Elephas maximus indicus: one gene and its partners. Each later gene encodes a partner of the first gene's protein in a complex. Links are inferred from orthologs where the notes say so. Each region holds a gene or a part of one and is shown in the gene's direction. Other genes may lie near its edges.

Evidence for each region.
Region 2: SNRPG (region 1) and DHX16 share a complex: the UniProt entries of both Homo sapiens proteins name them as parts of the minor spliceosome. The link is inferred for Elephas maximus indicus from reciprocal best matches to the Homo sapiens genes SNRPG and DHX16.
Region 3: SNRPG (region 1) and SF3B5 share a complex: the UniProt entries of both Homo sapiens proteins name them as parts of the minor spliceosome. The link is inferred for Elephas maximus indicus from reciprocal best matches to the Homo sapiens genes SNRPG and SF3B5.
Region 4: SNRPG (region 1) and USP39 share a complex: the UniProt entries of both Homo sapiens proteins name them as parts of the U4/U6-U5 tri-snRNP complex. The link is inferred for Elephas maximus indicus from reciprocal best matches to the Homo sapiens genes SNRPG and USP39.

The regions. Positions count from the first base shown.
Region 1 is NC_064835.1:65,894,531-65,902,034, forward strand, and holds the start of SNRPG (small nuclear ribonucleoprotein G), read left to right. Parts: upstream 1-4,494; 5' UTR 4,495-4,589; coding exon 4,590-4,621; intron 4,622-7,504. Other genes in the region: protein FAM136A, read left to right, coding at 1,141-1,329. UniProt on the Homo sapiens protein: Plays a role in pre-mRNA splicing as a core component of the spliceosomal U1, U2, U4 and U5 small nuclear ribonucleoproteins (snRNPs), the building blocks of the spliceosome.
Region 2 is NC_064819.1:90,992,559-91,000,543, reverse strand, and holds the start of DHX16 (pre-mRNA-splicing factor ATP-dependent RNA helicase DHX16), read left to right. Parts: upstream 1-4,967; 5' UTR 4,968-5,154; coding exon 5,155-5,361; intron 5,362-6,575; coding exon 6,576-6,823; intron 6,824-6,920; coding exon 6,921-7,083; intron 7,084-7,094; exon of another isoform or gene 7,095-7,193; coding exon of another isoform or gene 7,194-7,220; exon of another isoform or gene 7,221-7,321; coding exon of another isoform or gene 7,322-7,386; coding exon 7,387-7,443; intron 7,444-7,593; coding exon of another isoform or gene 7,594-7,666; intron 7,667-7,985. Other genes in the region: PPP1R18 (phostensin), read left to right, coding at 169-379, 1,288-1,307. UniProt on the Homo sapiens protein: Required for pre-mRNA splicing as a component of the spliceosome. Contributes to pre-mRNA splicing after spliceosome formation and prior to the first transesterification reaction.
Region 3 is NC_064819.1:214,617,792-214,623,453, reverse strand, and holds SF3B5 (splicing factor 3B subunit 5), read left to right. Parts: upstream 1-4,402; 5' UTR 4,403-4,531; coding exon 4,532-4,792; 3' UTR 4,793-5,149; downstream 5,150-5,662. UniProt on the Homo sapiens protein: Component of the 17S U2 SnRNP complex of the spliceosome, a large ribonucleoprotein complex that removes introns from transcribed pre-mRNAs.
Region 4 is NC_064835.1:48,988,093-48,994,929, reverse strand, and holds the start of USP39 (U4/U6.U5 tri-snRNP-associated protein 2), read left to right. Parts: upstream 1-3,815; 5' UTR 3,816-3,845; coding exon 3,846-4,113; intron 4,114-6,837. Other genes in the region: C17H2orf68 (UPF0561 protein C2orf68 homolog), read right to left, coding at 1,198-1,684, 1,765-1,871.

The DNA.
Region 1 (7,504 bases):
TCCTACATTCAGTTTCTAGACCACACATTGTACCTGAAATCCAGATTCATATAACCAATTGTTACCTCAACATCTCCACTTATTTTTTTTGTCTGTCTACCTTCCCTCACTAGATGCAAGTTCTATGAGGGCAGGAACTGCCTTACTCACTGCCGTATTTCTCATAATTAGAAGAGTGCCTGGCATATAGTAGATGCTCAATAATATTTTTTGAATTGAGTGTTTTTCAGTAGCATGAACAGACATTAAAGCATCAAGATGTTTTAAGTCTTTGTGTGGTCTTGGACCCCTGAGCTGCAGTAACTTCTCGCGTCCTAGAAGCACTGTGTACAGTTTATTCCGGTTTATTTGTAGTGCTGTTTAGTCTGGGCCCTCCTGGCACCACTGTCTGCTTCAATCAGGGTAGTCTTGAGTAAAAACCAAACCAGCTGCCATCAAGTCCATTCCAACCCATGGCAACCCCATGTGTGTGTCAGAGTAGAACTGTGCTCCATAGGATTTTCAATGGCTGACTTTTTGGAAGTAGATCACCAAGTCTTTTCTTCTGAGGTACCTCTGAGGGAATTTGAACCACCAACCTTTCAGTTAGTAGCAGAATGCTTAACCATTTACGCCACCCAGAGACTCCTACCTGGTTTTGAGTAACTGCATTATAGAAAGAAAGCAAAAACAAGTTGTCATCAGCCAGCTCTGACTCATGGCAGTTCCTTGTGTGTCAGGATAGAAATGTGCTCCGTAGGGTTTTCAGTGGTTGATTTTTTGGAAGTAGATCACCACCAGCTCTTTCTTCCAAGGCACCATCAGGTGGACTCGAACTTCCAACCTTTCAGTTAGCAGCTGAGTGCGTTAACTGTTTGCTCCACTTGGGGACTCCAGCTGTACTACCCAAAACCAAACCCATTGTCGTCAAGTTGATTCCGACTCATAGCAACCCTGTGAGACAGTAGAACTGCCCCATCTGGTTTCCAAGGAACTGCCGGTGAGTTCAGACTGCTGACCAGTTAGCAGCTGAGTCAGCAGGGCCCCAACTTGCACTACAGTGTCTCTTTAATTGGTCAAGATAACGTATGTCAAGCCTGTAGCCCAGGGTAAATGGAGGCAGCCTCTCAGCCTTTTCTGCCTTCTTCCTTCTTACCACAGGACCGCCTGGCCCGGTGTACCATGCATTGCAATGACAAAGCCAGAGACTCAATGGATGCAGGGAATAAGGAACTTGTGGTGAAGCAGCAGCTGGAGAGCTGTGTGACCAAGTGTGTGGATGACCACATGCATCTCATCCCGTCCATGACCAAGAAGATGAAGGAGTCTCTCTCATCCATTGCAAAATAAAAGTCTTTGCTAGTGGCCATTGTGAATGAGGGCAGGATGGGAATTTTGGTTTTTTAAGTGAGGTTTAGGAATGAAGAAATTAAGGATGGCAGCAAGTTTAAGGACTATGTCACCTGGCTCTGTGGATGCTGGTTCTTTTATAGGTTTTAATCCATAGCAAGTAAAGTGGGAAAAACTGGTGCTAAAATTTGGGTTGTAGGTAGCACAGGAGAGTTATTTACAGCCTAAATTATATGTGGCAAGTGCTTATCCTAGCAGCTGTATCAAGCCAGAGCCTCCAACACACCAGATTCTGCTTCTCACATAAGTACCAACAGGCTGGCATGTTCCTCCAGCCTACCTATGACCTGGTGGTGTTTGAAGAGAGTATTTCTGTTTGTTGCCAACCTCCTGTTTACAAGAAGTATCGCCACCCCATTTTCCATAAGCTGTAAAACAGAATCCATAAGATCAGTAATGCAGAAGTGGAAAACAGAGATCTGGGTCTTTGTTTTGCTTAGTTTTGTTTTATATCCAAGAGCCTGATATTGATTAAGATGTCAAGCTGGGAGACAGGGTAGTTGGATGAAAACTTTGAAAGGCTCTTTGGCCATCTGACTGTCAAGATGTGCTTTTCTTGAAATTCTCATATATTGCACCTTTCAGCCTGGGACCGTGCAAAAACGGGAGACCGTGTCACACTGGGTATGGGAAGCAGAACTTCCTTCTCGCTGGCTGCTCTGGTGGCCTCTGAGGCTGTCTGCAGTAGAGTGACAGGACAATCTTGCAATGACACTACTCATTTGAAGGAAAAGGGGTTTTGATTGTGATACATACCAATATCTGGGAATGAATGATGAAAGAGAAACTGTCGGCTGCTTAATTAAGAAAGTTGTGCTGGATTTGGATAAACCTAGTTTTTCATATAACTGAATGAAATGAAGGCCTAAACCCAGCATTACTTACTTCTTGTTGTTTTTGTTGTTGTTAGTTGCCATCGAGTCGGGTCCAACTCATGGTACTTTATGTATAACAAAACTAAGTGTTGCCTGGTCCTGTGCCGTCTTCATGATCATTGGCATGTCTGAGTCCATTATTTCAGCTGTTGTGGCAATCTGTCTCATTTAGGGTTTCCTCGTTTTTGTTGGCGCTCTACCAACATAACGTCGTTTTCGAGTGATTGGTGTTTCCTGATGATGTGTCCAGCTGCCTGCTTAGCCCCCTGAAATAACAGCCCTGTTAAGCCAATACCTGGCAACATGAAAGTCAAGGGAGGAAAAGTAACTCAGGAGCTAGGGAGAGCTGTGGCTCCTTTCGAGCAAAGGAGGGTCAGCCCCCCATTACCAAATACCACTTTCTGCCTGAGGCCTCTGCAGTGCGCAGTGTTCCTGCTTCAGTGACGCCTTACCATTTTGATAAGGCCTTTGTCATCTTTCTACCAATTTATTACTTGAAGTGCTATTGTAGCCTGTCTGCTGTTTCATGGCTGTGATATATTTTCCTAGTGGTTTAATTAGAAAAAATAAATAAGGTTTAATTTTCCCCACACTATTGTGCTTCTTTCTTCATATCCGAACAACAAATGTGTACTTTCTCAGGGTGCTTCTCCTTGTAATGTGTGAAATAAGTTCTTAAGATGTCCAGAAGAGTAGTATTGATTTTGTGTTATGGTTCAGATGCAAGACAACTGTAAATGAGAAAAACTTTGAGGGAAGGTTGGGGCACTATGACTTGAAGCCCATTAATGGAAAAAAAAAAAAAAAAAAAAACTTGGTATCCATGTCAGGTCTCTAGTTTCAACTAAACACTAATGGCAACATGTGGAAAAGGTACACAGCTCTGACCCGTCTAGAGAAAATCCAATGTCTAGGATTGTGAGTACCAAAAGAATACAAAATAACTGATGAGTTTAAGTTCTTACTGTACTTGGTATTTCAGCAGGCGTTCTCGAACATTAGGAATGAATTTAAATTTTGGAGAACCACCCCTGCTTAGAATCAGCAAGGTATTTAAAGCAGAAATGAACTCTACTATTTTGGCCTAAGTCTTTTGTCATCCCCGCTATGTTTTACTCATAAATGTGGATTCTTCTGTTTTGGAGTAGCCTCACAACTGGGAACAAGTCAGGGACCACCTTTTACACTTGTGTGCTTGATGTGGAAAATGGGTACCTCAATACAGAGCTTTGTGTGCCACACCTCACGCTTCATATGTGGGGGCAATGGCACATTAAGCAGGGTTCTATGAATGACTACAAAATAGAGGCAGTGTTCCAAGAATTGCTGGGCCATCAATGGGGAATACATTTCAGGGCTCAAGATACAAATTCTTGGAGACTGAAGCCCTGTCACTCTAGTGGAGAGAGGTCACTAATTCATGCTTACTGCAACCCTGGATTTGACGTGATACTGTGCTGTGGTGATAAATGCCAAGGAAGCATTAGGGATTCGCTCCTCCAGGGGTGGGTGGAGAGAGTGGAGTTTCTGTGATGGAATTCCTGCCTTCCATGCAGGAGGTCCAAGCTCGATTCCAGGACAACGCACCTCATGCACAGCCCCCCAAAAACCAAAACCAACCCAGTGCCCTGGAGTTGATTCCGACTCACAGCGACCCTATAGGACAGCGTAGAACTGTACCACAGAGTTTCCAAGGAGCGCCTGGCGGATTCAAACTGCCGACTTCTTGGTTAGCAGCAGTAACATTTAACCACTATACCACCAGGGTTTCCAACTACCCTTTAATCAGTGGAGGCATGCGTGTTCCTATGATGCCAAACAGGTTTCAGGGGAGCTTCCAGACTAAGATTGGGAAGGAAAGCCTGGTTATCTATGTCCAAAAAAATCAGCCAAGGAAAAAGGTCCAATCTCATTGTGCACAGGTTCACCATCAGGGGACGGCTAGACGGCAGCTAGCCATAACTACTCCAGGGCTGTTTTCATTTGGTATATATATGACGAAGATGAACAGTGCCATCTACCCCGACGGGATTGGCTGGTGTAGCTCAGAAGCCAGACGGGACTATTATCTCAATTTCACAGAAGGGGAAACGGAATTGAGAAAGGCTGTCTAACCAATCCCTTACGACGCAACCGGAAGCTTGAAGCTCAGAGGCGCGTTCAAGCTTCCGGTAAGTATCGCGAGGTGAAATGTGAACGCTGCCATCAGTCCATTGGCTAACAGGATAGATGACGTCAGACGCAAAAGCGCCAGCCGACCGCCGGAGCGTGAGGGAGGGCGCGAGTTCTGTTTCAACGCGGCGCTGAACCTCCCGAGTAGCCACGATGAGCAAGGCTCACCCGCCCGAGTTGAAAAAGTAAGTAAGTGTCAAGGCCCAGCCGCAGTGGCAGCTTCTTTGCGTGCCACAGGTGCCTTAGGCGCCCCCTCCATTTCCCTTAGCGCGTCCCGGCGTGCGTAGGCCGAGTGGTGGGCATGGGCCCCTGCACCGCCCCTCGCTCCGGTCGGAGGCCGCCGGATCCCCGTCAGGGCCCTGCGCTTCGGAGCCCAAGGCCGCACGGACCCTGCGTTTCGGCCTGGTTGCCAGAAGCCGCGAAAAGCACCTGCATGCAGCCCATTTGCCTCCCTTGTCCCCGAGCTCCCGGCCCCACATCTCCACGGCCTTCCTCGTTACTTGAGGACCTCGACGCCAGCCTTTGTGGAACATCGTGAACAGCATCATGTTCTGGATAAGGTGGCTGGAATGGAAGTCTTTATAGGATATGAGGAGTCAAAAGCCACTTTCATCTTAGAGAGTGTGTTTGTGTTGATTGAGCATTTACTTAAAAATCCAATTCCTTTTTCTTGCCTTCTTGTACTTAAACTTTAACGTCTTGTGCTATTATCATCGGAATTATGAGAGAGCATTCATTTTTCTAATCGGGAGAAGGGTTGTTTCCCCCTCCACCCCCGCACCCAGTAAAATCAAACGGAACTTTTAAGTAGGATATTCCTGCTTTATACAGGACCCAGTTTGAAGCCTTAACCTCCTCAAACACTTCTTGAGTGAGCGTAACATGTTCCGTGTCTCCTGAGTACTTCTCTATATTGTTTATACCATGTAGCGCCAGAATTCTGGCTGTAGTAGTTGGATTGCACAAAGGGTTAGCATCCAAGGATCAGTTTTTGTGGGTCAGCCACCTGGTCTGCCTTATGTATAGTTTATTTATTACCAGCCCCTTAAAGAAGTCAGACTTGGGAAAGAATTGATATTTAATAATTTTACATTTAAATATACATTTGCATCAAAGCCAACTTTTTTACGAAATTTCTGTCCATTAATCTTAATTGGAGTTGTTAAAGGCTTAAGTATTAAATCATACTCCCAACATTAACATTAAGAAAAGTGGAAATTATTGTCGAAAAAACGATCATCTAAAATTATTTTATTGATGGGCTGATAAAATTTTGTATCCTCAGGATTTATCAGGACTTGATGAAATGGTAATTATTTTTTTTTAATAAAAGGATCATTCTACTTGTAATTTTAGATTTCTGATTCTTAGTAGATGTTATTTCAGAATTTGAGGATGAAACTAGTTTTGATACCTTGCTCTTCTAATCCCTTGATTTAATGAATTGTGAAATCCTGTCAGATCTGCCTCTAAAATGTCTTTAAATTTTCTTCCTCCTTTATCACAGATACCATCTTCTTTTACAACTTCATACCTTCTTCCTGGTTTAGGATAACTCAGTGGTTCTCAGCTTGGGGAGCGGGGTCTGCTGCTGCCTGCAGCTAACCGGCAGAGGCCAGGACAGCTTCTAACAACAAAGAATTATCTGGCCCCAAATGTCAGTGATGCTGAGTTTGAGATAACCCTGGCTTAACTGAATTCTTCCTCTTACCTCTTAAAAATTACAGCCACAGTGATGGACTCATTTTCTGCAGAATAAAGTCCAGACTCCTTAACACAGCATTCTTAAATCCACCACCAAGGAGATCATCCATTCTTATACCACTGATATTTGAAAACCTAGTTCTCCAATCAAACTGAACCATTTGTGTTTGCTGAGACTTTCTCACTCACCTGTTGTGTGACTTTGGAGAATTTGGTTAACCGTAATAAGCCTAAGTTTCCTATCCATAAAATGGTGGTAATAATAGTATATAACTGGCAGAGTTGTTGCTAGGGTTAAATGAGTTCATGTGTATGTTGTGACTTGTATAATATGTACAATGAAAATATAACCTTATGTATTATACTGTATAAACATTTTTACTGTAAATGTTTACTTACACCTTCTTTTAGGGTTTGTGACATATCTGTGAATTCTCCCATGATATCCTATACATTAAGTTTGAATGAAATTTTATATTTTCTAGCCTGAGAGTAACTGGAAAAGATAAAAATTGATTTGACTGCATGACTTAATAGTCTCATACAGTCCTGCTGAGATGGGATTTTCTTTTTTTAATTCAAATTGTTTAGTTTCAAAATATTTATTTTTGCAATGAGACCAGAAGAACTGGATGGTGCCCAGCTACCATTACTGAGTGTTTTGATCAAAGACTATAGAAGAATCCTGATCAAAAGGGGGAAAATGCAGAACAGAATTTCAAATTCTCATGGAATCCAGACTTTCTGGAGCTTTGAAGCTGGATGAATCCCGAGAACTATTTCCCTGGAATAATCTTTAAACTTTAAACCAAAAATATCTACCTTGAGCATTGGGATCAAATTGACAACAGCAAAAAGGTTAGGTAGGAAGCGTAGGGAACAGTGAGTTTGTTAACGGAGGAACAGTTCGGAAAAGGAGGGTGAAAATGGTTGCACAAGTTGCATGTAATCAGTGTCATTGAATTGTATGTGTAGAAATTGTCGAATTGGTGTATGTTCTGTATATATTTTAAAGAACAAAAAAGTTATTTAGAAGAAAAAATACACATTTGTTTTGCTCAGGTATACTTATGTGGTGAAGAATATCCTGAACACTTAAGCTTGGTATCTTAATATTAAAACGACTGTGGGCTCAAATATAAAATACCTGTTGAGTAATAGTTTGGTTACTCTCTGATGTCCTCACATGGTTTGTTCAGTTTGGGAATTAACCAAAATGTAACCAAATCTGCACTTTCTGTTAATGGCTTTAAAATACAACCACTGAAAATGAGGTCGAAATTGAGCAACAAAAATGTTTTTATAATTCACATCAGTATAAAGGTTTAGTTTAATGTAGATTAATATATTGTAAATACATTGCT
Region 2 (7,985 bases), on another chromosome or scaffold:
TGAAGACGGGAAATCTGGGATTGGAGAGCCAGTATCAAAAGGGAAACTGCATGTCAGAGTGGCTGAGCAGGGGAGAGTCGTCAGCATGGCGCCCTAGCCCAACCCCTGCCTCCCACCCAGCCAGCTTCAGGGCTGACCTCATTTCCACCTTCTTTCTTTCACACCCAGTTAAAGATCTCCTTCAGCGAGACGGCCCTGGAGACGACGTACCAGTACCCCTCCGAGAGTTCGGTGCTGGAAGAGCTGGGCCCAGAGCCGGAGATCCCCAGTGCCCCTGGACCCGCAGCAGCCCAGCCCGACGAAGACGAGGATGAGGAGGAGCTGCTGCTTCTGCAGCGGGAGCTCCAGGGCGGGCTGCGCACCAAGGCCCTAATAGTGGGTGAGCGAGGCTCTGCCGCGCCGAGCGCGCCACCTGGTGTTGGGGGCTGGCACTGCAGCCTAGGAGGAAGGGAAGGGCTTAATGTTGGCGCTGGAACGGGCTCGGCAGGACCTCTAGCCCAACCCACTCCTTTACAGATGGGGAAGCTGAGGCACTGGGAAGCGAAGTGCGCAGCAGGCCTCCAGATTCCAAGATCAGGGCTTTTTTTCGGTGCTCTAGTGTAGACTCAAGGCAATGGGCAATGGGAGTGTAGTTCAAAAAACAAGATCAGACAAGCTCCTGTTTGAATTCCAGCTTGTCTCTTACTTGTGCTGTGTCCTCAGGGAAAGCATTTGACCTCTCTGGCCTCCATTTTCTCACCTCTGAAATGGGGTTAATAATAACTACCTCTGGGAATTGAGAGGATTAAATGATTTTTGTGAAGCACGCAGAACCATGGCTGGATACAAAATTATTTTATTTCACTTCTCCCGGTGTTACTGTGGAATTAAGGATTATGTGAGTGCCTGAAGGAGCCCCGGTGACGCAAATGGCTAAGCACTTGGCTGCCAACTGAAAAGTTGTCGGTTCGACCCCCTATAGCAGCTCTACCAGAGAAAGATCTGGCAATCTGCCCCGATAAAGATTATAGCATAGAAAACCTGACGAGGCAGTTCTGTTCTGTCACATGGGGTCGCTATGAGTCTAAAATGACTTGACCGCACCTAATAACATAAGAGTGCCTAGAACAGAATGCAGTACAAGGTAAATGATTGATGGTTGCTGTTACTGGTAGTAACAAGCACTCAAGACGAGGAAGAGGTTATAGGATTTGATTTCCTATATGCCAACTGCCCTTTAACTTGGGGCAAGGAGGGCAGGAGGCAAAGGCCCTCACTCATTCTCTATCATTATTGCCTCTTGTACAGATGAGTCCTGCCGGAGGTGACCCTCCCCCACACAGGGAAGATATATTGCCCTCCTTCCCAGAACTGAAGATCCTGGAGCCTAGAAGATCTTGGGCAGACAGACCCTGAAAATGAGCGTGGCAGGGAAGAACAACCAACATCCCCCAGCTTGCTTTTCTCGTCCTGTTTATGGGGGCAGAGACAACTGCTCAACTTCAACCCTAACCCAAGGTCCCTGGTGTGTCAAACGTGCTGGTGCATCTAGGTGATCCAAGAGTGAGTCCCAAGCCCTGGACAGGTGCACAGAGCCCACTGGGGGTGTGTGTGAAGATGGAGGACCCCCCATTTCCATGGGCACAGACACTGTCCCTACAGCCTTCCTTAGCTCCCCTCCCCACCAGGTACTCTCAGGATTTAAGCACTCATCTATGTCCCTGGGAGGCCTGGCCTTCACTCCGATCCCTAGATCACCACCCTTGTGTTTACAGCTCCTGCCTCCTCTCTTGACCACAGCCTGGTTTACAAACCCCACCAACTCCCAGCCCCATGCTGCCAAAACCCCACGTTTACAAGCCACGCCCACTTGCCGAGTCCACGTGGATTTCCTCTCCCCCCTCCTTCAGTTGCCTCATTGGGAGTCGCCTGGGGCGTGGCTCCTCCCACTTTTGCTCAGTATTACTGTGCCTCAGTTTTCCCCAAGAGGGAAGGCTGGGAATCTTGACTTTGTACTCCCAGATAGTTATTTAATTCTGTTCCTCCTAGTGGTTCACAATTGAATTGTAAGAGTGTGGGGTGACTAAGGAGGCACCTGCCTTTCCTTCTTTATGAATGTGGTTTTGTTTTTTAACTTTCCGTAATAAAATGGAGCTTTCTCCGACTCTCGTGTTGCTTCTCTTTCTTTAGAAAAAAAGAAAAAGTGTATGTGGAGGAAAGGCTTCGGGTTCCTCATTTCCAAGCCTCTCTCATCTTCCCATTGGCAGTGAAGAGGAAGGGGCTGTGGCTGTGGGAAGGAAGAATAATGGAGGATGAACCAGGAACTCAGCACTGAGTATAGAAGGGGCTTTAGGAGAGCCTTGCATGGGTTTCACGTGCAGGACAAGCAGATGTGAGGAAGGACAGTTGAGGTGTTCAGTAGACTAGAAGTATCATGAGGGCAGACTATGTCAGTTGGGTTCACTGTGGTGTCTCCACATCTGGCACCTAATAAGCACATAATTACTTCTAGAATGACTGAACAGATGAATTCATGAAAGGAGCTATAAAAAATAAATCTGAAGCACAGGACACTGAATTAAAGGATTGCAATATCCAGATGCTGGCTGCCATGCAAGCAACTGTAATGTGTGACACAACTCATGTGGCTACTGCAGGAGCTTTTTTTAGTCTAAGGTTTGGGGCCATCAACAGTCAGTCCTCTGAAACTGCTGCAAAATTTAGTGACTATCTACAGAAGGTCAAGTTCCTGGAAGAGGGTCTCCTCTGATAGGCAACAGATTTTATATTCTAAAGGGTTAAGAACCACCATAATTCATGGCTTTGGTACCCATAGTTGACATTAGGGGATTTTCTTATTTCAAAGAATCTATCTTCTATGTGTAACATCTGCTATAGTTTACCTATTTTTTCAGTTGCCATGAAGTTGATTCTGACTCATTGTGACTCCATGTGTGTCAGAGTAGAACAGTGCTCCATAGGTTTTTCAATGGCTGATTTTTTTTTTTTTTTCAGAAGTAGATTGCCAAATCTTCTCTTCTGAGATACCTCTGGGTGGACTTGAACCACCAACCTTTCAGTTAGCAGCCAACCACGTTAACTGCTTTATACCACGCAGGAAACATTTTACCTATGAAGTTATTTATTAGCTCTTCAGGCTAGTAAAGGCATAGTTGAGTAGTTATAGTCCTTTTACCACTACACAGGATGCCTCATCCAGTCTAACCAGAGGAGACCCCCCTTTGTTAAAAAACAAAATGTATTAGACAAATTAATCTTAAGCATATATGACAAGCAAGGTAACAAAAGAGTGAGCAGTTCAGAGAGGGTGTGGGTATGGAGGGGAACAATTCTTTTATCAGTAGCAAATTCAGTAAAGATTCTAACCAGTTGTGACCTAGAAAAGCTGGGGCAGGAAGCTCTAAGATACCAGGGGTGGTGCTCTCAGTCCACCTCTGAAACAGAAAACAAGGCATCCAAGAAGTCAATGATATGGATCCCCCTGTGCCTTTTAATGGAATAACAACGTTTCATTTTCCAACAGTAGTGTCTGATAAGTCCAATCAACCACAAGAGTATGAAGGAGGGTCAAACAGGTGAGCCAGCAGAGCTTCAGGTAACAAGTTTGCTTTCAAATAAGCAACCATCAGTGAATTACTCAAGCTATTACCAAAAGTGCAGAGTTTGCTCATTCCTTAGTTTGGATTCCCACCCCCCGCCCCAACAACTTTCTGAGCATCAAGAAAAGAGAACATCTTTGCTTTTCCCCCCAGTTCCCAAGTTTCTTCTGTCTGGAGGTCCCTCCTTATACCTAACCTGTGTTCACTCCTGCTGCAGGTACGGGTCCTAGCAAAGGTCCCTTCTCATCACTGGCTAATCTTTCAGAAGCATGGGCCTGAATTTCCTATTTGAAATATAACTCCTCTCCCCCTTACTTGCTTTATTTTTGGTTCCATAGAACTTACCTATTTTACATATTACCTATCTTGTCTGCCCGCATCCTCAAATGTAAATTCGGTAACGAATTTTTGTCTGATTTGTTCTCTGCTGTATCTTCTGCAACTAAAAAAAAAAAAAAAAACCCGCTGCAGTGGAGTGGATTCCAACTCATTGCGACCCTATAGGACAAAACAGAACTGCCCCAAAGGGTTTCCAAGGAGTGCCTGGTGGATTCGAACTGTCAACCTTTTGGTTAGCAGCCATAGCTCTTAACCACTATGGCACTAGGGTTTCCCTTCTGCAACTAGAACTACCTCAAACAAACAAACAAAACCCCACCAAATTCATGGCCGTGGAGTTGATTCTGACTCATAGCGACCCTATAGGACAGAGTAGAACTGTCCCATGGGATTTCCAAGGCTGTAAATCTCTAGGAAGCCAGCTGCCACAACTTTCTTCTGCAGAGTGGCTGGTGGGTTTGAACCGCCGATCTTTTGGTTAACTGCAGAGCACTTTAAACAATTAAAACCAGTTGCTGTGGAGTCTATTCCGACTGACACTTTAACCCCCCAAAAAAAACCACTGCCGTGGGGTCGATTCCGACTCATAGAGACCCTACAGGACAGGGTAGAGCTGCCCCACACAGCTTCCAAGGAGCGCCTGGTGGATTCGAACTGCCAAACTTTTGATTAGCAGCCATAGTACTTAACCACTAAACCCACTGCCGTCGAGTCGATTCCAACTCATAGCGACCCTATAGGACAGAGTAGAACTGCCCGATAGAGTTTCCAAGGAGCGCCTGGCGATTGGAACTGCCGACCCTTTGGCTAGCAGCCACAGCACTAGGCCACCATACTTAACCACAAATAAAAAAACTCAGTATTTGTTGAATGAATGAGTGAAGCACCCACGAGCTGACCAGCAGGGGGCGATAGCACGATTGGGTAGAGGAGGAAATGGGGGGAGGAAGTGCTTTACTCCGAGCTTCTCGTACGGTAACGCGACGCTTGAACTTGTTCGGCCACCGTAGTGCTCAGGCCGGAAAAGCGCGTCCGCTTCCGGCTTTCGGGGTCCGGGAAGACGGACTGGGTTTGTTGGAAACTGAACCCGGAGGCCGTAAGTGGGCTCCTTTGCGGAGTTTAGGGTCCGGCTCGGGGGTCCAGGCCTCTAAGCAGACTGGCCCCAGCTCGGCTCGTCCGGACGCTTCAAGGCTGGGAGTGGTGACCGTAGGTTGCCATGGCGACGCCGGCCGGGCTGGAGCGCTGGGTGCAAGACGAGCTGCACTCGGTACTGGGGCTCAGCGAGCGGCACGTAGCCCAGTTCCTGATCGGCACCGCTCAGCGCTGCGCTTCGGCCGAGGAGTTCGTGCAGCGTCTGCGAGACACCGACACCTTGGACCTCAGTGGCCCGGCCCGGGATTTCGCCCTGAGACTCTGGAACAAGGTGTCGGGAGAGGTGGAGCGCGACTGGGGCGGTGCCTGGCGTGGGAGCGGTAGGAGTAGGGGTGGAGCAGGGGAGGAGCCCTACGTAGGTCCTGGTGAGGCTGGCCTAAATGTCTGTCCCGCAGTTAAGTAACGTCAGTTCGCCAGGTGTGTATCCGTTGTCCGTTGTCACCCAGGTACTGTGCTAGGTGCTGGGCGTCCAGCTCAGTGGAGAAGATCGAGGAGAAGGCTTTAAGTATGTTACTTTTAGGCTGCGTTAAGTGCTATAGAACAGTGTGTTAAACTTGAACGTGCTTACGATTCATCTAGGCCCCTTGTTTAAAACGCAGATTCCGATTCAGGAGGTCTGGGGTGGGTCTCAGTTTCTGCAATTTCTAATATGCTCCCAGGCGATGCGGATGCTGCTGGTCCACTGACCACACTTTGAGTGGGAGGCCATAGAAGAGATTTGTGGGAAGTGCTGTGGATGGAGAAGAGGAATTAGTGACCAGAGAAGGCAGGTCCCAAGAGCCCCTAGAATTTGTCAGGTAGAGAAGGGGGAAGGAGTAGTGGTATAAATAGTGAGCTCCTGGAGCACAGGACTGTGTACTTCTTGTCTTTGTATTCCTACCACCTAAGTTCCTGCCTTGTAGAAAGAGTGAAAGTGTTCAGCATATTCAGAGAATGGCAGATAGCCTGGTGTGGCTGTGGTATATGCTGCATGGCGAGAGATGAGGTTATGTACGTGCCATGTGGACAAGACTTTCTTTTCACCAGTTTATCCTTGGAGTTTGATACAGTTCGGGGCATGTGACAAGCCTCTGCAAAACAACCCTTGTAGCTTGTCAGCCTTTTTTGTAGGAATGACCCAATCACTGGGAAGAACAAAGCCAGGAGAAAGAGGCTGAGCAATTGAGAATTGGCCTGAAAATGTAAGCTCCACAAGGGCAGGAATTTTTATCTTTTTTGTTTATTCCTTGTCTGTAGTCCCTAGAAAAGTACCTGAAACATAACAGGCTTAATAAATGTTTGCCAAATGAATGAGAGGACGTTCAAAAGTTGGAGGGTCCTATTAAGGCTAAGGAACATGATGTGAAGCCATGGGGAAGAGAGGGGGCAAAGGTTGGTTTAAGAGCGAGTAATTCCTCAAAGGGAAATTAACTTAGGCACAGGGCTAAGTAAGTGGGCAGAGGTCAGGAGTTGCTCGCACCCCATTACCTTCCCCTCTCCTGACAGGTACCACGGAAGGCAGTGGTAGAAAAGCCAGCTCGGGCAGCTGAGCGAGAGGCCCGAGCCCTGCTGGAAAAGAACCGATCTTATAAGTTGCTGGAAGACAGTGAGGATAGCAGTGAGGAGACTGTGGGTAGGGCTGGGAGCAGCCTCCAGAAGAAGCGTAAAAAACGGAAACACCTCAGGAAGAAATGCCAGGAGGACGAGGAAGAAGAGGAGGAAGTGATCTCTGAGAAAGAAAAGAGAAAGACGGGGTAAGTTAGAAGCAAGATGAGAGGGGATGGGGCAGGTGGATGATGGGACTATAAGCCCTGTGGATGCCCTTACTTAATCTCCTGGGCCGGGCTGCAGGGGGAGTAAACAGCAGACGGAGAAGCCAGAGTCAGAGGATGAATGGGAGCGGACAGAGCGCGAGCGCCTTCAGGACCTGGAGGAACGTGATGCCTTTGCTGAGCGCGTTCGGCAGCGGGACAAGGATCGGACTCGCAATGTCCTAGAGCGGTCAGACAAGAAGGTGCATAGGAGCCAGAATGTTCTGTAAATCCCCAAGAAGATCCCTGGGTCAAATCTGATGTTGGGTGTGATCCCAGAGATGGTACGAAGACAGGGATCATCTCTAGCAGTATGTTCATCTTCGGGTTCTCTGCTAAGGTACCTCCCTGCTGTACCTGCAGCCATAGAGATTCCTTACTGAGGGGATATTTCTCTGTGAGGGGGCACATCAGAATGATCCTTTGCAATTCTAAAGGGGGATGGCGATGGGTTGTCGGGGGGCTTCTTGCCCTCACAGCCCTCCCCTCTTGGTTTCTTCTCCTAGGCTTATGAAGAGGCTCAAAAGCGCCTCAAGATGGCTGAGGAAGACCGGAAAGCCATGGTGAGTCCCAGGGCCCATGAAGCCAATCAGAAGGCAAAAGGAAATACTTTCTGATGGCGAGATTAGGGGAGGGAGAAAGGATACAAAAGAAGTACAGTGGGGATGATGATGGAATGCCCAGGCCTCTGGAGGATGGTATTTGGTTGACAGGAGCCAGCTGAGCACAGAGGAACTTGGAGAAGGCCATAGGATGGAATCAAGCTGTAGAGGGAAGGAACCATGGGTGAGAGCTACCCACAAACCCTCCTTCACTCTTTACTTTAGGACCAAATCACAGTATGTATTAGGGAGATGTGAACCTTCCTTGTTCCTGGGACTTAGCGGGACTTACTCAAAAGGCAGCTGCGATGTCATCAACGGGTGGCTAGAGGGCAGGGGCAGAGCAACTGTCCCAGCTCCCCAGGGATGTCCTGACCACCATCTCCAAGTACCTTTCTACCACCTAATCCCTGCATCCCCCACATGGCTTTATGATGTCTCTGTGGCTTCCTGAGTTGGTGTTCTTACTGGACAGGGGCAGAGCCCTTTGTAATTCATGAACC
Region 3 (5,662 bases), on another chromosome or scaffold:
GCAATAAAACTAGAAATCAATAACAGAAAAACTAGGGAAAAGAAATCAAATAGTTGGAAACTGAACAATACCCTCCTGAAAAAAGACTGGGTTATAGAAGACATCAAGGAGGGAATAAGGAAATTCATAGAATGCAACGAGAATGAAAATACTTCCTATCAAAACCTCTGGGACACAGCAAAAGCAGTGTTCAGAGGCCAATTTATATCGATAAATGCACACATACAAAAAGAAGAAAGAGCCAAAAGCAGAGAACTGTCCCTACAACTTGAACAAATAGAAAGTGAGCAACAAAAGAAGCCATCAGGCACCAGAAGAAAACAAATAATAAACCAAATGAGAAAAGCATAAACCATAAAGAAAGACTCATAAATTGACTACTTTAAAATTTAAAAACTTCTGTACAACAAAAGATACCACAACAAAAGAGTAAAGATAAGTCACAGAGTGGGAGAAGATCCTTTCATTGCATATAACTGGCAAGACTAGTATCTTAATAAATAAAGATCTCCTAAAAATTAGTAAGAAAAAGACAAACATCCCAATAAGAAAATGAGCAAAGGATATGAATATGTAGTTCACAGAAGCAGAAACCCAATAGGCCAAAGAACAAGTTGGAAGATGTTCGACTGAGACAGATAGGGTTAACTGTGCTGGCAGAACAAAAGAGCTGTTAAAAGATTACCATCTACAAGTTGGGTAAACAGGAACCACACACTGTCAACATAAGGTTGAAACAACCTGTGAATTACTATCTCCTTCTTAGTGTTTTTCTAGTCCCTTCCTTTTTTTCCCCCCCTTTACAGGCTCCCGCATGCACATAACGAAGTGTGACCGCGATTTAACCTTTCTTAGCTCTCCAAACATGGTGATGTAGTGCCAAAGATCAGTGCACTTGTGCTATATGCCATAATGAGTGATGCCAAGGGCTGCCAAGAGGACTCCATCTTGAATATCAGTGGGTTCCATCTTGGATTCCAGATGCGCGCACTGAGAAGTACCGTGAAAGAAGCCCACTAAATATTCATTACTTTATTGCCTCCACCAAACCCATATAAGCCCTAGCCTTGCTTCCCTTTTCAAGTCAGCCTTGTGGAGGCTTAGTCCCCCAATGACTTCTTTTACTGGACTCAAGCAAAACAAAGCTTGCCGAAGATAAAGTTGGTCTTTCGCGTGTATTTTTACTCGGGAAAAGACAAGGACCCATTGTGTCAGATTGGCGATTGGTAACACAACTTTCCTAGTAATTAAAAAAAAAAAATTTAGGGATATGCAAATTAAAGCCACAGTGAAATGACAACCCACCATTCAGGTATACAAAATTTTTAAATGTCTGACAACACCAACTGTCTTAGTCATCTAGTGCTGCCATTACAAAAATACCACAAGTGGATGGCTTTAACAAAGAGAAATTTATTTTCTCACAGTCTAGTAGGTTACAAGTTCAAATGCAGGGCGTCGGCTCCAGGGGGAGGCTTTCTCTTTCTGTCAGCCTTCTCATCAATGTTCCCCTGGATGAGGAGCTTATTTACACAGGGACCCCTGGTCTAAAGGACACATTCTGCTCCTGGTGCTGCTTTCTTGGTGGTATGAGGTCCCCAACTCTCTGCTTGCTTCGCTTTCCTTTTATCTTTTGAGAGATAAATGGTGGTGCAGGCCACACCCCAGGGAAACTCCCTTCACCTTGGATCAGGGAGGTGACCTGAGTGAGGGGGATGTTACAATCCCACCCTAATGCTCTCAACATAAAATTACAATCATAAAATGGAGGACAACCACAATACTGGGAATCATGGCCTAACCAAGTTGATGCACACTTTTTGGGGGGAACATAATTCAATCCATGACACCAAGTATTGAAAAGAACGTGGAGCAAGAGGAATTCTCATTCTGCTGGTGGAGAGTCAATTGGTATAATTACTTTGGAGAGCATTTTGGCAGTGTCAAGCAAAGCTTGAAGACACTCATTTGTATGTCCTAGCGACTTTATTCCTGTGTATATGCCCTAAAGAAACTCCTTCAGCTGTTTAAGAATATACGTACAAGAATATTCATTGCAGTATTGTTTCTAATGGCAGTAATCTGGAAATAAACTAAGTCCATTAGTGAAAGAGTGGACATATTGTAGTATGTCCATTCAGTGGCAAACTACACAGCAGTAAACTTGAACTAAATTTAAATATATCAACATGGATACTGAAGTGTGAAAAAAGAAGCAACTTTTATAACAATACGCACACGCAAAAAGCTGTTGCTGTGGACTTGATTCCAACTCATGGCAACTGCATGTGTGTCAGAGTAGAACTGCGCTCCGTAGGGTTTTCAACTGCTGATTTTTTAGAAGTAGATCACCAGGGCCTTCTTCCAAGGTGCCTCTGGGAGGGCTGGAAATGCCAAACTCTGGGTTAGCAGCAAAGCATATTAACCGTTTGCACCAGCCAGAGGCTCCATAACAATACATACTCAGTTTCATTTAGGTAAAGCTTTTGTTTTCAGACCTCTAGGTTTCATTTGGCATGACACTGAGGCACGAGTTGGGCAAAAGTGAAGGAAGAAAATCTTTACCTGCTTGGCCAAGTGAAGGATCTCACCCTGGGTCTCCAAGACGCCTCTCTGATCTCCAGGCACAGGGGTTTATATATGGGGAGGAAACAAGAGGGGTGGGTTCTTCTTCAGGGCATGTTCATGGCAATGTTCAGGGGCGTGGTCCATCGGGATTGGTGGACAGCCCCTGTAATGATGTTGATATTATCCGTCAGTGCAGTGGTCAGTGCAGTGGTCAGTGCAGCGGCACTAGGGCCATGAAGAAGTGGAAATGCCAGCATAGCTTCTCCCAGCCACCATCCAGAGGTTTTCCCCCTTACTTTACAACATGTGTTACACTAACACCTATACAAAAACATTCAGCAATAGAAAAACAGGCTCAGGAATGATTAAATTCAGAATAGTGTTGAGTCCCTAGGAAATGCAAACAGTTAACATGCTTGGCTGCTAACCTGAAGTTTGGCGGGTGGGCCCAGAGGCGCCTGGGAAGAGAAGCCTGGATATCTACTTCAGAAAGATCACAGCCGTTGAAAACCCTACGGAATGCAGTTCTACTTTGACACACTTGGGGTCGCCATGAATCAACTAGAGGACAGCTGGTTTGGTTTTTGTCCTGACGTGTACAGATTAAGAACTCAGAAACTTGAAGTTTATTTGTATCGTTTTCTTTAAAACAAACAAAGGCAAAATAATAACAAAAATGGCAATGTTTGAAAATTCTGCTTGGTGAACTCAAAGGTATGCTTTATAATATTGTCTAAACATTATTGTCTACACTTTAGAAATGATATGTGATGACAAAGTTTAAACAGCAGAACAAAAATATTTTCGTTATCTCTCCCAATAAAGAGTTCCTTCTATTTTTTTTTTTCTATTTAGTTATACAGTTGTTTACCCTTTCATCAAATGTTTTTTTGAGACTACAATCTCTCCCAACTATTCTGCTAGGCTATGGGAATATCATAAAAGAACCATAGGATTCTTTTCTCAAGGAATTTCTATTCTCACGAGGAAACATTATTAAACCAAAAATCAAAGTATAAAGCGATAATAAAGAAGAGGTGTACGAGATATAAAAAGGAAGGAGTTTACATCTGTCTGGAGTAGCCAGAGCAGGCTTCAAAGAGATGCTTTTGAGCTGACTGAAAGGGAGAAGTGTTTGCCAAGAGAACAAAGGCATTCCAAATAGAACAGCTTGTACAAAGAACTGGAGACGCGAGCAGCACGTAACATTAAGTATAGGCTGGGGCCGTGTAGGATGGGGTGAGGAGTTGGAGGGAGGATCTCAAAATAAGAAGCTAGGGTGGAAGGAGGAGCTTGTGTGTGGAAGCCGGAACGTGTCAGAACTGGCACTGTACTTTGGTCATCAAGCAGGAAACGGCGGCCTGAAAATTGAAATAATTCCCTCAATCCGTACAATTTATTAAGAGGCAGAGTTGGGACCAGAATTCGCATCTCCTGACTTTAGGGTGATCGACCTCTGGCTGCAAAGGGGCTACCGTACCGCCACATGAACTCCGAAAGCATAATTATATCGAGTCCATTGTAGTGCTATCCAGTTTGCGTTCCCCATTTCCTCCAGCCCCAAGCCGCCCGTGGCCTCTTATAACCAAGAAGGGATCCCAAAAACCTGCATGCACGAACCCAGGGGGACTACAGTTCCAGCAAACAACGACCCCAGGTGAAACGGCGCGGCCAAAAGCCACTAAATGGACCATCATGCAACGCTCTACGAAGGGGGCGTGACTGTCCCTATAGGGGCGGGGCACTTGTTCTGTCGCCTAGGCAACCCCAATTAGGTAGCAGAATACGCTTCCGCTTCCCCGTCTGAGCACTACGGCCAAGAGTCAACGCGGCTTCGTCGCTCTGACGCCATCATCTTGCGACTGCGCGGGTCCGGAGATTTCCGTCTATCAGGCCTGACACCCCAGAGCAGCTACTTCTGTTTTGTGGCCTCCGACCCGGGATCAAAAGGGAACACGGCGAGATGACGGACCGCTACACCATCCACAGCCAGCTGGAGCATCTGCAGTCCAAGTACATTGGCACCGGCCACGCCGACACCACCAAGTGGGAGTGGTTGGTGAACCAGCACCGGGACTCGTACTGCTCCTACATGGGCCACTTCGACCTTCTCAACTACTTCGCCATTGCGGAGAATGAGAGCAAGGCACGAGTCCGCTTCAACTTGATGGAGAAGATGCTGCAGCCTTGCGGGCCGCCAGCGGACAAGCCCGAGGAGAACTGAGACGCCGCATTAACACCGCTGTGCGGGAACATCTCCCAGCGTTCCTCGTTTTTCCCGTCGTTCCAGCGCATTCCTGCCCCAAGAAGACCGATTTTCCATGACTCCGGCTGCTCGCGCTTTCCTCGAACAAACATGGTTACCCAGGGTCGTCCTGCCTGACCTGCCTTCCTGCTTACCCTTCGGAACACAGCGGTGGGAGACAATCAGGACTTCTGAGAACTGGGATCGTGGAAAGATCCTAGAGCCGGCAAGCGTTAGGGGAGGCGGTACTGGAGCGAGACGGGATTTGAAGGCTCGTTTTTTGGCTACTTGATTGCCGTTTTCGTTTTATCTATAAAGTTTAGAAATTGTTCACTCTCTTGGTGTGGACTACATGTGTTCGAGTGTGGAGGGACCCAGGGAGGGCTTTGGGGACTAAGGTTTCCTGGGAGGCCGAGCAGGAGATGACGGGCATTTCAAGGCCAGCATTTAGTGCCAGGCGCTTAAATCCGCCTTGCGCATATTTTATGATGTTCCCTCATCCCGAATTTTCTCAACGATTTTTTTCTACCGCCATAATACTGTCAGTATTGAGGTTTGTGATCAGTGTATCCCACCCTTTTCTCCCATTTTTGAAGTCTTAGCTGTCATTGTCTTTCTCTCTCTCTGTGTAAATTGCATCATCTTTTGGGACTTTTCGCTTTGTCGTCAGGACTGACAAGCTAGCAAATGAGCTCTTTCGTTCATTCAACATTCGGCAAATATTTGTTGAGCTCTTCGTGTCAGGCATTTTTCCAGGCTTTTGTGGTTTACATTATACAGGGAGCGGGGAAGAGCGGTAGGGAGGAGGCCAAACAAACCCAAAGCCTACCAAACAGAAAAAAACCGAAC
Region 4 (6,837 bases), about 17 Mb from region 1:
CAGCCTGGAGACAATGCCTTCAACCCCTCAGTGTCGGCTCTGTCGCTTTGCAATCTCCTCCTGGATGCGCAATTTGAGGGCCTCTCGCATGGGTGGATCCAGAGGCGTGTGTGCTGACACCTCCTCACTCACCCTTCCGGGGTCATCGTCCTACGTGGAGGAAGAGTCAGGAAGCTCAGGGCCTGGCCTCTTCTGGAAAGGCAGCCTGCCCCATCCCCAGACAATGCTCTCACAGAACTCCGTTTGGCTCACGGCTTCCTGCTGGCTCTGTCATTTCCCAGATTATCCCCTGTAATAGTGATTCTCAACTGGGGGCACGAGCCTTCCCTGTTCCCTTCTGAAAATCACTGTGAGATGGGAGGGAGTCGTGTTTGTAAAGCATTGCCCAATAGTCCTATGCTCCCACGTGGAATGCACTCTTCCCACTGGCCCTGAGTCAGACAGCAGCTCAGGGTCTGGCAGTAACGCCTACCATGGCCCAGGGCCTTTAGGCTGCAGCTGTTTCCACAGGAGGCGTACCTGATACACGATAACTGACGTGACCTCTCCGCTGTCCGCCTCATATTCTAAGCAGAAAAGCTGATGGCCAGAAGGCTCCAGCTCAGATCCACCACTACTGTTGCTGTCACCGGACTCCTCATAGTCTGGGTTGCCTGTGTGAGTAGAACCATCTGGAGGGATGAACCAAAGTGAGAGGGAAGAGAGGGAGGCAGTTGGAGCCCTTGCACACAGAGATGACGCAGGAAAACAAAGTCCCAATCTTCTTATGGGCCCTGAATTGTGTGTATGTGTGTGTGGTGTGCTACCAATTAGAAGCAGTTTTATTTACCTTTATATCATTGCTGGGAACCCAGCACAGTCCTTTCACATAGTAGGTATACAATGCCTGTTTGTCTGGTGAATAGGATTGGAAGGTATTGGAGGAGTGGATAGAACAGTCTCTGGAGCCACTGCCTGGGTTCAAATCCAGGCTCTGCCATTTAGTAGCTCTCAGATTTCAGGCAAGTTACTTAACTTCCCTGTGCCCAGTTTCCTCACTTGTGAAACAGATGTGATAATCATTTCCATCTTACGGGATCCTACGAACACTAAATAAGTTAGCGTATGGAAAAGGTAAAGGCACTATTGCACTGTTAGTTACTCTGATCTCTAGATCCCAGTGAAGCTAGGGAAAAATCCATTTACTGGGTTTGGGTTTTATTCCACAATTGTGTCCTGGTCACTTATAGCTGGGCCAGGTTTCCCCTCCGCCAAGCACTGCAGATACAGAGGTACGGTATGGCGGGGCAAACCCACAAACAACTTTTTGCTACAAGTATCTCCTGTAACAGCAATCGGGATTTTTAAGTGGGGGCCATGAGTCCTCCCTGTTCCCCGGGGAGAATAACTAAACCGAGGTGGGGGACGGCTGAAGCAGAGGTTCCGGGCAGGGGCGACGTGATCGGAGCCTCGGGGGACGAGAAGTGGTTTTTTTCCATACAGAGAAGGGGAGTGCGTCGCAGCAGAGGGCCCGGGGCCGGAAGGGCGCGCGGGCTGGAGGAGGCAGGCGGGGCGGGCGGCCTCACCTCGGCGTCGCGGCAGGTACACCTGCAGATCGGGCTTGCGGGGCCGCGTCGGCGCGGGCGTGTGCCGCCTCCTCGCCTTCTCCTTGGCTGCCTGCTTCACCTTCTTGTCGTAGTCGTCCCTATGGGGAGCCGAGCGGGAGTCAGGGGCGGCCCGGCTGGGCCAGGCAGGGGGTGGCGCCGGCGCGGGGAGGGGCGATACCGAGCGATCTGGTTCCGTCGGATGTGCTGCACGAAGCCGTGGCTCATGTCCAGTCGTCCGCCAGGCTTGCAGCAGAGCCCCGGCCCGGGAGCCGGCGCCGCCTCCATCTGAAGCCCTGTTCGCGGAGCAGCAGCCGCCTCAACGGTCTCAACGGCCGCCCTCCCGTCGGAAGAGGCCCGCCTCTCCCTTAGCTCAACTTCCGGCTCCGCGTCGTGACTTCCGGTCCCGGACGGGCCAAGGAGGCCGAGTGCTGCTCGCGCTGAAATGACAAGGGAGTGGCGGAGTGGGGAGGCCAGGGAAGCGCTTCCGCCACTTGACCGGGCTGTTTGTTTCCTTTGTAACATTATCAATGCGAGACAAGACTTAGGCTTACTGCTCAGAAGCCAAAATACATCAGGAAAGTACAAATCACCCATTGTATTACTCAACGTCCCTTGTGGAGCCTTCCTGTCTTTATTCTGGTGATAGGATACTGTGAACCTCCATCACCAGCCGCGTGACCTAATCCCCCAGTGCCTCAGTCTCCGCACTTGTAAATGGGGACACGGATAGCACGCGCCTGCTAGGTTGGTAGGAGGCAAAGTGCTGGGCGGCCTGGGCGAAGACGTGCCGCCAGCCAGACCTATATAATTTTCGAGCTCTTTTTGAAAAAAAGATAAAAGGTAGGAATTTATGATTAAAATAGGGCCAACTGTGTTACATCAACACAATGGAATACTACTGAGCAATCAAGAGGAATGAACTGTTGATAAACCAACAACGTGGAAGAATCCCCAAATGATTATGCTGAGTGAAAGAAACCAGCCCCCCTACCCCGCAAAAAAAAGAGTACGTACTGTAAGGGTCCGTGTATTTAAAACTCTAGGAAATGCAAATTAGTCTATAGCTGGATGGGTGGGGCAGGGGGACACTTCATTATCTTAATTGTAGTGATGGTTTCACCGGTGTATACATTTGTCAAAGCTTACCAGATTGTACGCTTTAAACATGTGCAGTTCATTGTATGTCACTTATACCTCAGTAATCGGAAAACCAAACCCGTTGCAGTCCAGTCATTCCAACTCATAATGACCCTATATATAGGACAGAATAGAACTGCCCCAGGGGGTTTCCAAGGAGAGGCTGGTGGATTCGAACTGCCGACCTTTTGGTTAGAAGCGATCTCTTAACCACTATGCTACCAGGGCTCCTATAACTCAATTAAGAAACCAAACCAAGCCCGTTGCTGTACAGTCGATTTTGACTCATAGCGACCCTAAAGGACACAGTAGAACCGCCCCATACAGAGCTGTTAAAACAAGAAACATACTAGTACAGGGGTTAGAAGGGGGTGGTGACAGGCCCTGAAGCCTGAGTTTTACCAGCTTCTTGGTAAATCTGCCCCGATTGGGCATTTGCTTACTCCTGTGGTACCAAGGGAAACTCTGGCAACGTAGTGGTTAAGCGTTCGGCTGCTAACCAAAAAAAAAGTTCGGCAGTTCAAATTCACCAGCTGTTTCTTGGAAACCCTGCGGGGCTGTTCCACTCTGTCCTATGGGGTCGCTGTGAGTTGTAATCGACTCGACGACAGTGGGTTTGGTTTGTCTTTTTTTTTTTTTTTTTGGTTTGGTTTGGTGGTACTAAGAGCAACGCTGTCGGAATTGGGGCCACCAGGGTGCTGCAAAAAGGGGATGTCGCCTAGTTGTACTGCGCAGGAGCGTCAGGCTCTGACATCCCGAGACCGTGGGAGCCAGCCTCCCGATTCTGGTTTTCAGTCACAAATATCTTGAACAAATCTAGGGCCGTATGACACCTTCTTTGATTCAGAAACGCGATTGCCAATAAAGGGTTCCTGCTTCTTGAAACTGGAAATTACGAGTAAGGTGGCTGTAGGCCCGCAAAACATTCTCAAGAGCGCTCGCAATGGCAAGCAAAACGCTAAAAGCGCGATGACTCCTGCAAGTTTCCGGCGGCGCGATTTGTCCCCATAAGCGACTCGTAGAGTCCCCTGGGCTCGGTAACAGCGCCGCTCCTGATTGGCCGCGTGACGGGCACTCCCAGCGTGCTTGGCGTCTGCGCGGGCGGGTCGGCTGGTAGTGGCGATGTCTAGCCGGTCCAAGCGGGAGTCTCGTGGTTCTGCCCGCGGGAAACGCGAATCCGAGTCCCGGAGCAGCTCGGGTCGCGTCAAGCGGGAGCGAGATCGGGAGCGGGAGCCCGAGGCGGCGAGCTCCCGGGGCAGCCCGGTGCGCGTGAAGCGGGAGGCAGAGCCTGCGAGCGCTCGCGAGGCCCCGGCGCCCGCCTACCCAGTGGTGCGGGTGAAGCGGGAGCGCGAGGCGGATGAGGACTCGGAGCCTGAGCGGGAGGTGCGAGGTGCGCGGGGCCGGGCCGGGCCGGGTTGGGCCGGGCTCCACCCTTCCTCGTCCTTTCTTTCCGACTTTCTGAGACTTCCCTGCAAGGAGTGGGGGTGGGGGAATCCAGATGTCAACGAGGACAGTACTAGTATTAGTAATGAAAAGCCCAAACCCGAATGGTTGCCATCGAGTTGATTGGGACTCATGGCAAGCCCATGTGTGCAGGGTAGAACTGCACTCTGTAGGGTTTTAAGCCTGTGACCTCTTGGAAGCATATCGCCAAGCCCTTCTTCTGAGCCGCCTCTGGGTGGGTTCCACTCGACAACCTTTAGGTTAGTATCCGAGCGCTTAGCTGTTTGCACCACTTAGGGACCGCTAATATTAATAATTGTAGTTGTAGTATTTTTGTTAATATTAACAGCAGCCTGCCTTTACTGAATCCCTATGGAGGGTCCGGCACTGGGTTGATTACTTCTCAGGTGTTAACTCCTTCACTTTTTACAACAAAGCTGAGGTGTGTGAGTTTTGCTGTAATTTCTGGGATCAGACCGTTCAGTTAAGAGCCTGAGTGCTGTGCACCTGCATAAAACTACCCCGTTATCCCTTTGGGGTGTAGCAGTCAGGAGGTCTGGATTCTGGTCCTTCCTCTGAGATTGAGTCACTCTGGTTTGGGCAGGTGGGTTTCATATTCTGGTCTGTCTCTAAATTAGTGGAAGTAGCCCTGCCAGTGAAACTGTTACTCCCTCCATGAATTCCCCCTTTGCCTCCTTCCTCTGGGCTCTTTCGGTGTCCCCTAGTACTTGTGAGAGGGTGAGATCTGGAGAACCATCGCCCAGCCTTGGTTTTCTGTGTAGAGTGCTCTCTCTTCCTACTTGTTGAAAGTCTGTTGTTGTCATGGAGTCGATTCCAACTCCTGGCGTCCCCATGTGTGCAGATGGGACCTGCTCTGTATGGTTTTCTAGGCTGCGACCTTTCAGAAGCAGATCACCAGGCTTTCTCCTGAGGCACTGCTTGGTGGGCTCAGACTACCAATCTTCCTGTTAGTAGTCAAGTGCTTCACCATTTGTGCCACTCAGGGAATCCTGTTGAAAGTCTACCGCTCATCAAATAGGTGCCTGCCACCTCTGAGGAGTCCCTGGGTGGTGGAAATGGTAATGCTTGGCTGCTAACTGAAAGGGTGGTGGTTCGAGTCCACCCAGAAGTGCCTCAGTGGCCTACTTCGGAAAAATCAGCCATTCAAAACCATGTGGAGCACGGTTCTACTCGGACACATGTGGGGTTGCCCTGAGTTGGAGTCCACTTCACAGCAGCTGGTTATCACCTTTGTAACTTTTCCTGTCCAACCCAATTACATCCTCTATTCCTTCTCCCAATTTTGTACTCTTGACTTCAATATATTCCTGTATACTTGTATTCTGGTGAGTTAGTAGAAGTCTATTGAAATGGCAGATGCGTATATCACTCATCTACATGCTAGCGGAGGGGGGCGGTGTCTGGAGGGGTCTCTTGTACCTTGTGGTACTGGTTATCTGTATATGATTATACTGTAATATTTGCTCTTAAATTTCTTGGTCAGGTTATCTGTTTGATATATTTTTGTTTTATGCGCAGGGTCTAGTATAGCATCTTGCTCATAGAAAACCAAACCAAACCCAGTGTCCTCGAATGGATTCCGATTCATGGTGACCCTATAGGACAGAGTAGAACTGCCCCATAGGGTTTCTAAGGAGCGCCTGGCAGATTCGAACGGCCGACCTCTTGGTTAGTAGCCGTAGTACTTAACCACTACGCCACCAGGGCTTCCTGCTCATAGAAAGAGCTTGATTATCTTTGAATAATAACTTCAGGGTATTCTCTGACTTCCTTTACTTAAATAACTGTGTCAGCCTCAGGTATCCCCTTCCTGGCAAGGGAAATGGTTTGTGAGATATTTTGCATAATTGTGGTGAGGAGATTGTTTTCTCTGGTGGACGTATTAGGATTCCAGTTACTGTTAATGTCTTTAAAAAAAATTGTGAAATATATCACAGGCATTAAGATGGACTGAATTTACAGTGAACAGGTACCGTTTAAAGATGAGCATGAATATATATCCATAAATCTACCACTTGCCAAGAACTGTGAAAGGTCTAAGATTTTATCCTATTTGCAGGCTAACAAGTTAGTCTGGCACAGTTTCATGGATGCTGATAAAAAATATGGAACTCCTGGTTCAAAGACAAAGGACAGTTTATTACTCACAGCAGTAGCAGTGGTGAGACTACCAGCATCTGTGTGAGTTCCCTGAGTCAGTTCCCACAGGGCGGCTTGGTTCACCTGTACACACGGTGCCTCACGGGAGAGGAACCCTGAGCTTTGAGAACCTGGATCTTTTATAACGGACAGTAACCTTGCCTTTACTTTGTAAGGAAACACTGTTTCTCTCTTTCAAGGCTGTTCACTGTACCAACATCCCTGACAAGATGATCTGCAGCAGAGGCTGGCAGTGCCTCTGGTCACAAGATGTGCAGAAAAGTGAGACCCATAGAGAATTGTCTCCTAACACCATTCAGCTTAAGAAGTACCAGTACCTTAGAAGCTCCTGTAGGCCCCTTCCTGGTTGTATCTGCTTCCTTTCCTGCTTGAGTAGTTGCTGTCTCGAATTTTCATTGCATTATTTTCTACTTTACAGTTTTATCTCATATATGTACCATTAAGTTGCACAGTGTTTTGTTTCGTGCTTGATGTAAGTGGAGTCTTACTG